Saccharomyces cerevisiae S288C: one gene and its partner. The gene in region 1 interacts genetically with each later gene. Each region holds a gene or a part of one and is shown on either strand. Other genes may lie near its edges.

Region 1 (4,524 bases):
AGCCGTTCAAATTAGTAACCGTTTGAGATATCTTGTCTTACTACTCGTATTCCGCAGATAAAGTACATTTTAAGAAAGGAAGTAAATACACATAAATAAATAGCAGGAAGAAAATGTCTAACGAAATTGAATTACTGCAGAAGCAAGTCTCTGAATTACAAGACTTAGTGAAGAAGCAAAGTCTGATTATCTCTAAGACAGGAGAGCGTGTGCTGGAATTGCAGTTAGATAAACAAAAGCACGACGTAACTGATTTTGATTCGAAATTCTCTAAATCTATCTCGAAGAAATCAGGATCCGCTACTCAATTCGATGCCACTGATTTTGCCACAAATGAAGATCTAGTGGAATTAGTCAAAGAACTACAGGGTGAGCTAAATTTCATCGAGGAAAGGTCTATCAGAAGACTTGTTAACTCTTTGAAAAAAGATGATGATGACGTTATAGCGCCACTGCCTAATGCAGATGGTGATATTCCTGCTATTTCAGACGGAGTGTTCCCTAAGTCGTTGAAAGAATTTAAAGACATCCCAGACTTAAAACTGGTAAGACTTGCTAAATTCTACGAAAGATTGCCACCAACTCTAAAGGAACAAGAAGATTTTGAAAACTTCCTGGAAGGTAAGGTGGAAGCCTTTCACATTAATGAGACCACTGATGAAGAGATTTCTAAGGAGTTGGAAAAGTTCTCCAAAGATGAGCTAGATGATGCATTTAATGATGTTGCCCGCTATCTAGGTCTCTCCCTTAGAAGAGGAACCGAAATATGGTAAACAGAAAATGAAAAAAAATGAAAAATCAATGAATAAGAGGGCTTGAGTTCCAGGTTCTAGAAATTTCCCTCACTTATATATATATATATATCTATATACATATAGTTTTGAGTATATCATAACAGGATTCTCTTTCAATGAAACCTATGTTTTCCGCGGCATTGCAGTTAAAGGATGTTCTAGTGGTGAAAAAGAGAAGAAAAGAATTCAAAGTTTTCCTCCCATAAGTATACCTATACTTTTTATCTGTGATTGAAAGCTGTATACCAACAGCCTTCTATATATTACCTTGTATACCATTCAGTAGTCTTAAGCATCATCTAACTTTTGACCAGGTCCATTCTGATTGGCTGCGGTAGCCCGCTCCGTTTTCCGCTCTAAGCGTTTGGTACTTGTATAAATGTGCACTGGCATTATGATATCGAGATCCCCGCATAGAAATCTCAGGACCAACCAAAAATTGCCAATCACAAGCTCTAAGAATAATAAACGATGTCTGCAATGATGGTCAAGTTAGGACTGAATAAGTCGGCTCTATTACTGAAACCCTCCGCCTTTTCAAGAGCAGCTGCCTTGAGCTCCTCGAGGAGGCTGCTTTTTAATACAGCTAGAACAAACTTCCTTTCTACCTCACCATTGAAGAATGTGGCCAGTGAAATGAACACCAAAGCGGCAATTGCTGAAGAACAAATATTAAACAAGCAAAGAGCAAAGAGACCTATTTCTCCACATCTGACCATTTACCAGCCACAATTAACTTGGTACCTGTCTTCTCTTCACCGTATTTCGTTGGTGCTTATGGGACTAGGTTTCTACTTGTTTACTATACTCTTCGGAGTCTCTGGTTTATTAGGTCTTGGATTGACTACCGAAAAGGTTTCTAATTGGTACCATCAGAAGTTTTCCAAGATTACCGAATGGTCCATCAAGGGTTCCTTTGCTTACTTATTTGCAATTCACTATGGTGGCGCCATTAGACACTTGATCTGGGATACCGCTAAGGAATTGACATTGAAAGGCGTTTACAGAACTGGTTACGCTCTCATTGGTTTCACCGCCGTTCTCGGTACTTATTTATTAACTTTATGATTCTTTAAGGCGACGCACCTGTTTCTACACACAAATATATATATAGCCAATTTTATATATACGTTCCTATATATGACCCAATACCGCACTTATTTATTCTTTAAGATCTTTATAACCCAAAATGCCGATTAACACAAACCTATATTTACTAGGGGCACATTTTTTATTTTTTTGCCTTTCTGTAAAATACAATAGAGAAAATAAAGGAACAAACAAGAGGAAAAACAGGAAAAGATAGCGCAAGAGTAATCATATTCAACAAAATATCAGTGATTTTTTACAGATATCAAGATAATTTCTTTCCGGATACTTATTGAAGCTATTATTTGTTACTGGCAAGAAAAAGCAAACATAGGCGGTCATTTTTCTTTTGTATAAAGTAAATACAAGAAGAATTATTTTCGAGGAATAACTAGGTGTGCAGAGATATTAAGGAACAAGGAAAGAAGAAAGAAAACAATTCGAACAAAACTTTATTATTCTAGCACTATTTTAAAAAACTGTCTTTTGGCAAAATGTACTTCCCCTTTTTAGGCAGATTATCGATAACAGATTACATTATAGTCGTCTTGGTATACATAGAAAGCATTATTTCATCAGTCCTTAAACTTATACCACAACCAATGATTAACCTTTTCGAATGGCTAATAAATTTCTCAACGTCCTCCGATGACAATACCATCGAAGAAAAGTTAAGGTCAGCTCCAACTATCCATGAAATGTGTGCAATTTTTGATATATCTGTCGAGGATCATTTGGTAAGAACTGAAGACAATTATATCTTGACACTGCATAGAATCCCACCGATTTCTAAAAACAGATTTAACAATAAAGTGGTATACTTACATCACGGTCTTTTGATGTGTTCTGATGTTTGGTGTTGCAATATTGAAAGACATAAAAACTTACCGTTTGTATTGCATGATTTAGGTTACGACGTCTGGATGGGAAATAATAGAGGTAATAAATATTCAACTGCCCACTTGAACAAACCACCAAAATCGAACAAGTTTTGGGATTTTTCTATCGACGAATTTGCGTTCTTTGACATTCCAAACTCAATTGAATTCATCTTAGATATAACAAAAGTGGACAAGGTCATCTGCATCGGATTCTCTCAAGGCTCTGCTCAAATGTTTGCTGCATTTTCGTTGAGTGAAAAATTGAATCGAAAAGTCTCCCATTTTATAGCCATAGCACCCGCTATGACTCCAAAGGGGTTGCACAACAGAATTGTCGATACCTTGGCCAAATCATCGCCCGGCTTTATGTATCTTTTCTTTGGTAGGAAAATTGTGTTACCTTCAGCTGTCATTTGGCAAAGAACTTTACATCCAACACTTTTCAATTTGTGTATCGATATCGCAAACAAGATACTGTTCAATTGGAAGTCGTTTAACATTCTACCGAGACAAAAGATTGCTTCTTACGCAAAACTTTATTCAACGACCAGTGTAAAATCCATTGTTCACTGGTTCCAAATATTAAGATCTCAGAAATTTCAAATGTTTGAAGAGTCTGATAACATGCTAAATTCCTTAACTAGGCCTTACCAAATTGCTAATTTTCCTACTAGAACAAATATCAAGATTCCCATTCTTTTAATTTATGGTGGCATAGATTCTTTAGTTGATATTGATGTGATGAAAAAAAATCTACCCTTCAACTCCGTCTTTGATGTTAAAGTTGACAATTATGAACACCTGGATTTGATTTGGGGCAAAGATGCCGATACCTTGGTCATTGCTAAAGTCTTGAGGTTTATTGAATTTTTTAACCCTGGTAATGTTTCAGTGAAGACTAACCAGTTACTACCATCAGCAAGTCTGGTTGAGGAATTACCAAGCACGACATGGAAGACAACTCATCCAACGCATGGTCTCAGTTATAGAACTCACTCGGCAGACCGTTCTCCGTTGTCTGTACAAGCTGATGAAGCGGATGAGGTCCACAATGCTGACAATTCAAGGTTCTTAAGACGAGTGTTTTCTACTAGTGCCATAGACGAGGACAACGAAAATGAGCACCAGGATGATACAGAAGATCAAATCCATAAGGAGCAGCAAAGACGGTTAAGTGCCTATCTGGAATCATCCAAAGATTTACGACAACTAGATGCCAACTCTTCGACAACTGCGCTGGATGCTCTAAATAAAGAATGAAAAGAATGCGAGAGAAACCCTATTAAACTATTTTTTGTCTAGGATAATAATATTAGCGCTAATCTAAAAATCGATGAACTAAAGAAAGAATATACGTACGTTTTATACACAATAAATGGATTTCATAAGAAGTCCTTAATATCCTCATGCTTGTGGATACTGGAAATTAGTAAAGTAATTAACTTCCTTTTAGCATTATTCTTATTTGGCTTAAAAAGGTCACGTGAAGCTCTATTTTTTTCGTTTTTTTTTTTCACTGATGGAAGAGAAAAACCTCTACATAATAAGGTAACTTTACATATTGATTGCCAATGAGATGTTAAAAAATGGACGGTTCAGACAGTAAAATACATTTAGAAAAAAAGAGAAGGTCTTATCAGTGTATTTATTCACTGTGCATATTAGCTTTTTTTGGACTTTTTTTGTTCCATTAGTACTTTTAAAAAACCTATTTGTAAATAAAACTAATTCTAGCACTATTCTTTGCACTAGAATAACAC
Region 2 (6,209 bases), on another chromosome or scaffold:
GGTTACAACACTCTGCTCCCCCCACAAGATGAAAGTACAAAGGGCAAGAAATGCCTAATACTGGACCTGGATGAAACCTTGGTACACTCTTCTTTCAAATACTTACGATCTGCGGATTTTGTTTTGTCTGTGGAAATAGATGACCAAGTACACAATGTCTATGTCATTAAAAGACCTGGTGTGGAAGAATTTTTGGAAAGAGTCGGAAAATTATTCGAGGTTGTAGTCTTCACGGCTAGTGTCTCTCGATACGGTGATCCTTTGCTTGATATATTAGACACAGATAAAGTCATTCATCACAGATTATTCAGAGAGGCTTGCTATAACTATGAAGGAAACTATATAAAAAACTTATCCCAGATTGGAAGGCCGTTATCAGATATCATCATTCTCGATAACTCTCCGGCATCTTATATTTTTCATCCCCAACATGCAATACCGATTTCGTCCTGGTTCTCAGATACTCATGATAACGAATTATTAGATATTATTCCTCTTTTAGAAGACCTTTCTGTGAAAACCTCACTGGATGTGGGCAAAATTTTGGATGTAACAATATAATGAGCACTTTCGCCCGAATTTCTTGTGGCCCCCGCTACCAAAGAATGAAGATGAAGAAGATGAAGAAAAGAACCAGAGAACAAAAAGTTTTTTCTTTTTTTTTCTTTTTTTTTTTGGCTCAACACACTGTACCCATGCTGTCCCTTGACATTTTTTTTTTCAACTTCTTCTACCATTACGACACAATGTATTCATATATAAATTCATAATCTAATAAAATGGTAATTTTAATTTAACGGGACTGGCGTGAACATTTATCAAATACATGTGAATTAAAAATTAAAAAAATGCAAATATTGTACATATGTGTATATACAGACAACATAAAACAGAATAACTACTTTTCTTGAGTATCACGTTTGTCATCTTCCTTTCTTCTTTTCCTATCTCTTCCTGAATCTTCATATTTGTGCACGGTACCAACGATTTGTTTCTTCCTTTCGGAAATGTATGGCATATCCTTTCTAGTACGCCTTTCATTAGCTTCTCTTCTCTTAATAGAACTCAACTCAATGTTCTTAATTTCCTGAGCCTTTTTGATGACTTGTGGCACGTGTCTATGTCTACTGATTCTTTTGATCTCCGGCATATGTCTAAATCTTTCTTTTAATTTTTCGTCATATTCTAATTTATTCTTTTCACGAGTAGTTTTGACATTAGACCTCTCCCAAGCTTTACTTCTCCATAGCCTAACATTCCCATCATCAGATCCACTGATAATATATTTAGAATCCATGGAATATTTAACCTGGAAAACATGCTGCATTCTCTTCGTATGATAAATTTCTCTCGAATGTCCGTGATTCGTCTTATATATTCTGATACTCTTATCGTACGAACCAGTAACAATCTCATCCCCCGTAGGAGAAAAGTCAACATCCATTACTGCGCTGACGTGATCTTTGAATACATTCAATGAACGTGATAAATTCCTCATATCATAATAGTAGGCGTTATGATCTTCATTGGCAGTTACAAAGTTGAAGGCCTCCATTGGATTCCAGCAAATAGCATTCGTCCTCATTGTTTGAACAATCTTTTGTGTGGGGGAGTTGGTTCTCAAGTCGTAAAGAACAATAGAATTATCACTACCAGTACTGGCCAAGATATCTGTTTCATTTTGATTGAATTTTAAACTAGTAATGTTGTCTGCTCCCCATGATAGATCGGAAACTGGCTTCAATCTGTTAACGTCCCAAAGATGGATCTTGGCCCCACCTGTGGCAAACGTGGAGTTTTCTCTGTGCGAATCGATACCTTGAAATGCAGATTCACCGTCAAAAGTACGAATCAAACCTTCCTCGTTAGTAACGGAGTCGTTATCACTGGAGTTTTTATTGGAGTAATCATCAACATTTATTGACCATAGCTTGACAGTTTTGTCATCACTGCAAGATAACATAAAATTTTGGCTCTTCAAATCTGGCTTCTTGTCATGAAAACGAGGCTGTGTCACACAAAGACCAGTAACGAGTCCATAATGCGCCTTAAAGGAAACAAATTCTTCTCTAGTAGACATGTTCCAGTATTTAATCACACCATCTGCAGAACCAGTAGCCAATTTATTCAGACTACCATAATTTTTGGCAATAGCATAAACACCATCTCTATGACCGTATCCTAACTGACCCACAAAGGGTTTAGCAAACATTCTTTCCAATTTGGTGGCATTCAAAGCTTTAGTATATTCACGTGCCCTTTCAAAAGGATGCAATTCAGGGTTCAAATTCCTGGGCATTTGAGATTCCTGCGTACTTTTAACAGGGACATAGTCATCAGCACTTCTTTTAATGGTCTTAATCTTCATTTTAACGCCTTATCTTCGCGAGTCAAACTACGTTAATGAAATGCGGTTGCTTTATACAACTGTAATGTAATTCAAACTCATCGATTTTTTTTCAATATCAAATTTTTCAAAAAAATGTATCGTTATGCACGGTGATGTCCCAACTCCCGACAATTTGTGACACAATACTTCAAAAAAAAAGAACAATTAAAAACTAAAAATTTACTAGCCCTCTATCTATGTATTCCCAAGTATAATTTATATTAACCTATATATCATGCTTCCTCTTCAAGCCTTCTCAGCAACCATTTCCAGCTCCGTTTCCACCTCTGTGTCCGAACAATCACTTTCAAAGGCGCTGGATGGCTTCTTGGAGTAATAGTTGTTCAAATTCTGTAAAATTGGTTTACCAATTCTCTCTATGACATCATGTGCCCATAGGACATCAATATGGGCATACTCATCAATGTACCAGATCTTGTAGTTGACATTCGACTCCACATTGACGAAATGATTGATTAGTCTTTCTCCGTCCACCAATCTATCTTGCTTTGGAACAAACAAGTAGATATTTGGGGCCTTTGATGCGTCTGAAAACCACTTAACATTGTCGGGGAACATCTTATGGGAACCAAATTTAAAACTTACCTTGTTGGGGTCGGGTGACAGCCACCATTGCATCAACTTCACTGAAACATGGACTGGCGAAAACAGGAAATGGCGATCTCTTAATGCGGTATCCCAAAGGGTATCGTTCCAATCAAACAGGTAATTGAAGATGGTGTAACAAACAAAGGAGAACAAGCTCTCACCAACGCACAAGTTTCTTACAATCATCATTATCTCAAAAAAGCTCGTTTCACCAAAGAACCAGGGATTTTCGATTTCCTTTGTCATAAGCTTAACAAACAATTTCTCGTTAAGTAAGGGACCAGGATACACTGCGGGGGCCAAGGCAATATAGTTTGCGATCTTAGAAGTGAAAAAAGATTCTTTAGATCCCGAACCGGGAGGGAAAAACTTATCTTCGTTGACCAAGCCCATAAACCCCTGTGTAGTGCCCTGAGAATGCGAGATCAAAGTAAGCTTTTCAAACTGCGTCTTAGCTAACACGGTATCAATCAAAAGGGTCAGATCGTACTTAACCATCTCGCGAAGGTCCCAGTCCCACCTGGAAGCTAGTGTCGGTACTTTCGCTTCGTTCCATTCCGGCCTAAACCCGCATCTGTTATTCCCTAACCATATGTCGTAACCGGATTGATACAGAAAATATGCCAGAGATTTTCTACCATTGGATGCGAACGAACCACTGCTTTGCAAAAGGCCATGTAGCATCAAAATGGGTGGCCTCTTCTTCTTGTCAGAATCTGTCGTTCTATATTTTGGTATCAAGTGCCACAAATCTATAACAAACCCATCTTCGGTCTCCAATCTAAATTCCTCTATTTGAATATTGTACTGGTTAAAATAATAATTAAGATCCGCAACTAATGTCAAGTCTTCCGATAAGATTAGATTCTGTAATGGATTGTCGCACTGTACAGGAATTTTTTCAAAAACCGGTTCATGATTGGCAATTTCATTGCTACTATTATTGAACTTTCCTTGCGTTACGCCTTCGGTAACTTTTTCCTTCTCGATAAACCTAAAAATAAGCTTTGTCAAAAATTTGTGAAAAAGGTTTTTATGCAGTGACGAGGACCCCACTTCGTGGTTCTTTTTACGGACAACCGTTCTTGTATGATCGTAGACGATACCGTTTTTCTTGTCATGTTCCAGATCGAGGTATGGCGTCGCGTATGCATTGGTTCTAGTGAGAACATGGTCATGGTGTACGTTTCTTTTACTTTCGTCATCAACTTCGATTTGGGTCGATGAACTCCTAGTGTCTCTGTGCTCATTTATAAAATGGTGTGCCAGCGCCAGAACAAGCACTACTGCCATAAAACAGCAGACTATGAACGTTGCTAGTAAATTCCTAGCTCTTTTCAACACCGCAGAAACACCCATCGTGTGAATTGTGCAGTAAATATACCTATATATAAAACTATTACTTTATCTGCAGCCATCTATATTAAAAAATAAGTATTTTTGTGTATAACAATAGATTTCTATATATATATGTATATATATATATATATATAAATTTAGATTAACCACAATATCATTTTATCGCTGCATTTTTTTCATCTTCTTTCGTTCCTTCGCGTTTCTTTTCTCGTATATAATAAGCTTTTGCACATTGCCTGCGATACGTCCGAAAAGGGAACGTTTTTTCCCGATCAGACCGCCCCAGAACTTCTCGAAGAAAAGTGCCCGAGGGCAGAGCAGCAAGACCTAAAAAATTCGTGCCGGGGTTTGAGCTAGAAAAAGAGGGCTAAAGATAAACATCCGATCGCTATCTACGGTAATTGCGCACTCTGTTACCCTGAACTGCATTTCTTTTTTCCTTCTAAAAATTGTGGAGAGAGGAAGATAATTTCCCAAATGTACCATTAGCACACTTGAGAATGTATATTGGATGTATGAAGCTTGATGAATAGGAGAAAAAAAAAAACAAAGAAAAGAAGGAAAAAGAAAAATAAGTGGTGCCTGCACATATTTGAATATCTACTGTAAATAGTATAACACTGCTTAGCTAATTTTTTTCTGGTCATCTGGTCTCTAAAGAGAAACATAAGAAAAAGATAGGAACATTGAAAGGCGGTGAAAAGGAAACTTCCTTGCTACTGATATATCTATAAGCATAGAAGTACGCAAGCAAACAAGAAAACAAACAAGAACTACGCATTTAAATTTCTTCTGAATAACGCAATATTGCGGGTATAAATGGAAATGAACATGGATATGGATATGGATATGGAACTCGCATCCATAGTTTCTTCTTTAAGCGCCCTGTCCCATAGTAACAACAACGGCGGTCAGGCCGCCGCGGCCGGCATTGTGAACGGCGGTGCTGCTGGATCACAGCAAATTGGCGGCTTCAGAAGGTCGAGTTTCACCACGGCAAATGAAGTAGATTCAGAGATCTTGCTGCTTCACGGTTCCAGTGAATCTTCACCGATCTTCAAGAAAACCGCCCTATCAGTTGGTACTGCTCCGCCATTCTCCACGAACTCGAAAAAGTTTTTTGGTAACGGCGGCAATTATTACCAGTACAGATCAACCGACACTGCCTCCCTGTCATCCGCATCGTACAATAACTATCATACTCATCATACTGCGGCTAATCTCGGGAAAAACAACAAGGTCAACCATCTTCTGGGCCAGTATTCAGCTTCCATTGCTGGTCCCGTTTACTACAATGGCAATGACAACAACAACTCTGGTGGGGAAGGGTTTTTTGAGAAGTTCGGAAAATCTTTGATTGACGGTACAAGGGAACTGGAATCTCAAGATAGACCCGACGCTGTCAATACTCAGTCCCAATTCATATCAAAAAGCGTCTCTAACGCCAGCTTAGACACACAGAATACTTTCGAGCAAAATGTCGAGTCTGACAAAAACTTCAACAAATTGAATAGGAACACTACTAACAGTGGTTCGCTTTACCACTCCAGTTCAAATTCAGGCTCATCTGCGTCTTTAGAGTCCGAAAATGCTCATTACCCCAAGAGAAATATCTGGAACGTAGCCAACACACCAGTATTTAGACCTAGTAACAATCCAGCCGCTGTTGGGGCCACAAATGTCGCGCTTCCTAACCAACAAGATGGGCCTGCAAATAACAATTTCCCCCCCTACATGAACGGCTTCCCACCCAATCAGTTTCATCAGGGCCCTCATTACCAAAACTTCCCCAACTACTTGATCGGATCTCCTTCAAATTTCATCTCCCAGATGATTTCAGTACAGATTCCAG

The links.
Region 2: of TGL1 (region 1) and YEH1, changing one enhances a phenotype caused by changing the other (phenotypic enhancement), as found in Saccharomyces cerevisiae (3 studies listed by BioGRID).

What each region holds. Positions count from the first base shown.
Region 1 is NC_001143.9:178,402-182,925, forward strand, and holds TGL1 (sterol esterase), read left to right. Parts: upstream 1-2,377; coding exon 2,378-4,024; downstream 4,025-4,524. Other genes in the region: MRP8 (Mrp8p), read left to right, coding at 114-773; succinate dehydrogenase cytochrome b subunit SDH3, read left to right, coding at 1,266-1,862. UniProt on the Saccharomyces cerevisiae protein: Mediates the hydrolysis of steryl esters (SE). Preferentially hydrolyzes ergosteryl and zymosteryl esters. Required for mobilization of SEs from lipid particles/droplets, thereby playing a central role in lipid metabolism and sterol homeostasis.
Region 2 is NC_001144.5:123,682-129,890, reverse strand, and holds YEH1 (sterol esterase), read right to left. Parts: upstream 4,358-6,209; coding exon 2,636-4,357; downstream 1-2,635. Other genes in the region: PSR1 (phosphatase), read left to right, coding at 1-561; rRNA-processing protein SOF1, read right to left, coding at 899-2,368; mRNA-binding protein PUF3, read left to right, coding at 5,177-6,209. UniProt on the Saccharomyces cerevisiae protein: Mediates the hydrolysis of steryl esters, thereby playing a central role in lipid metabolism.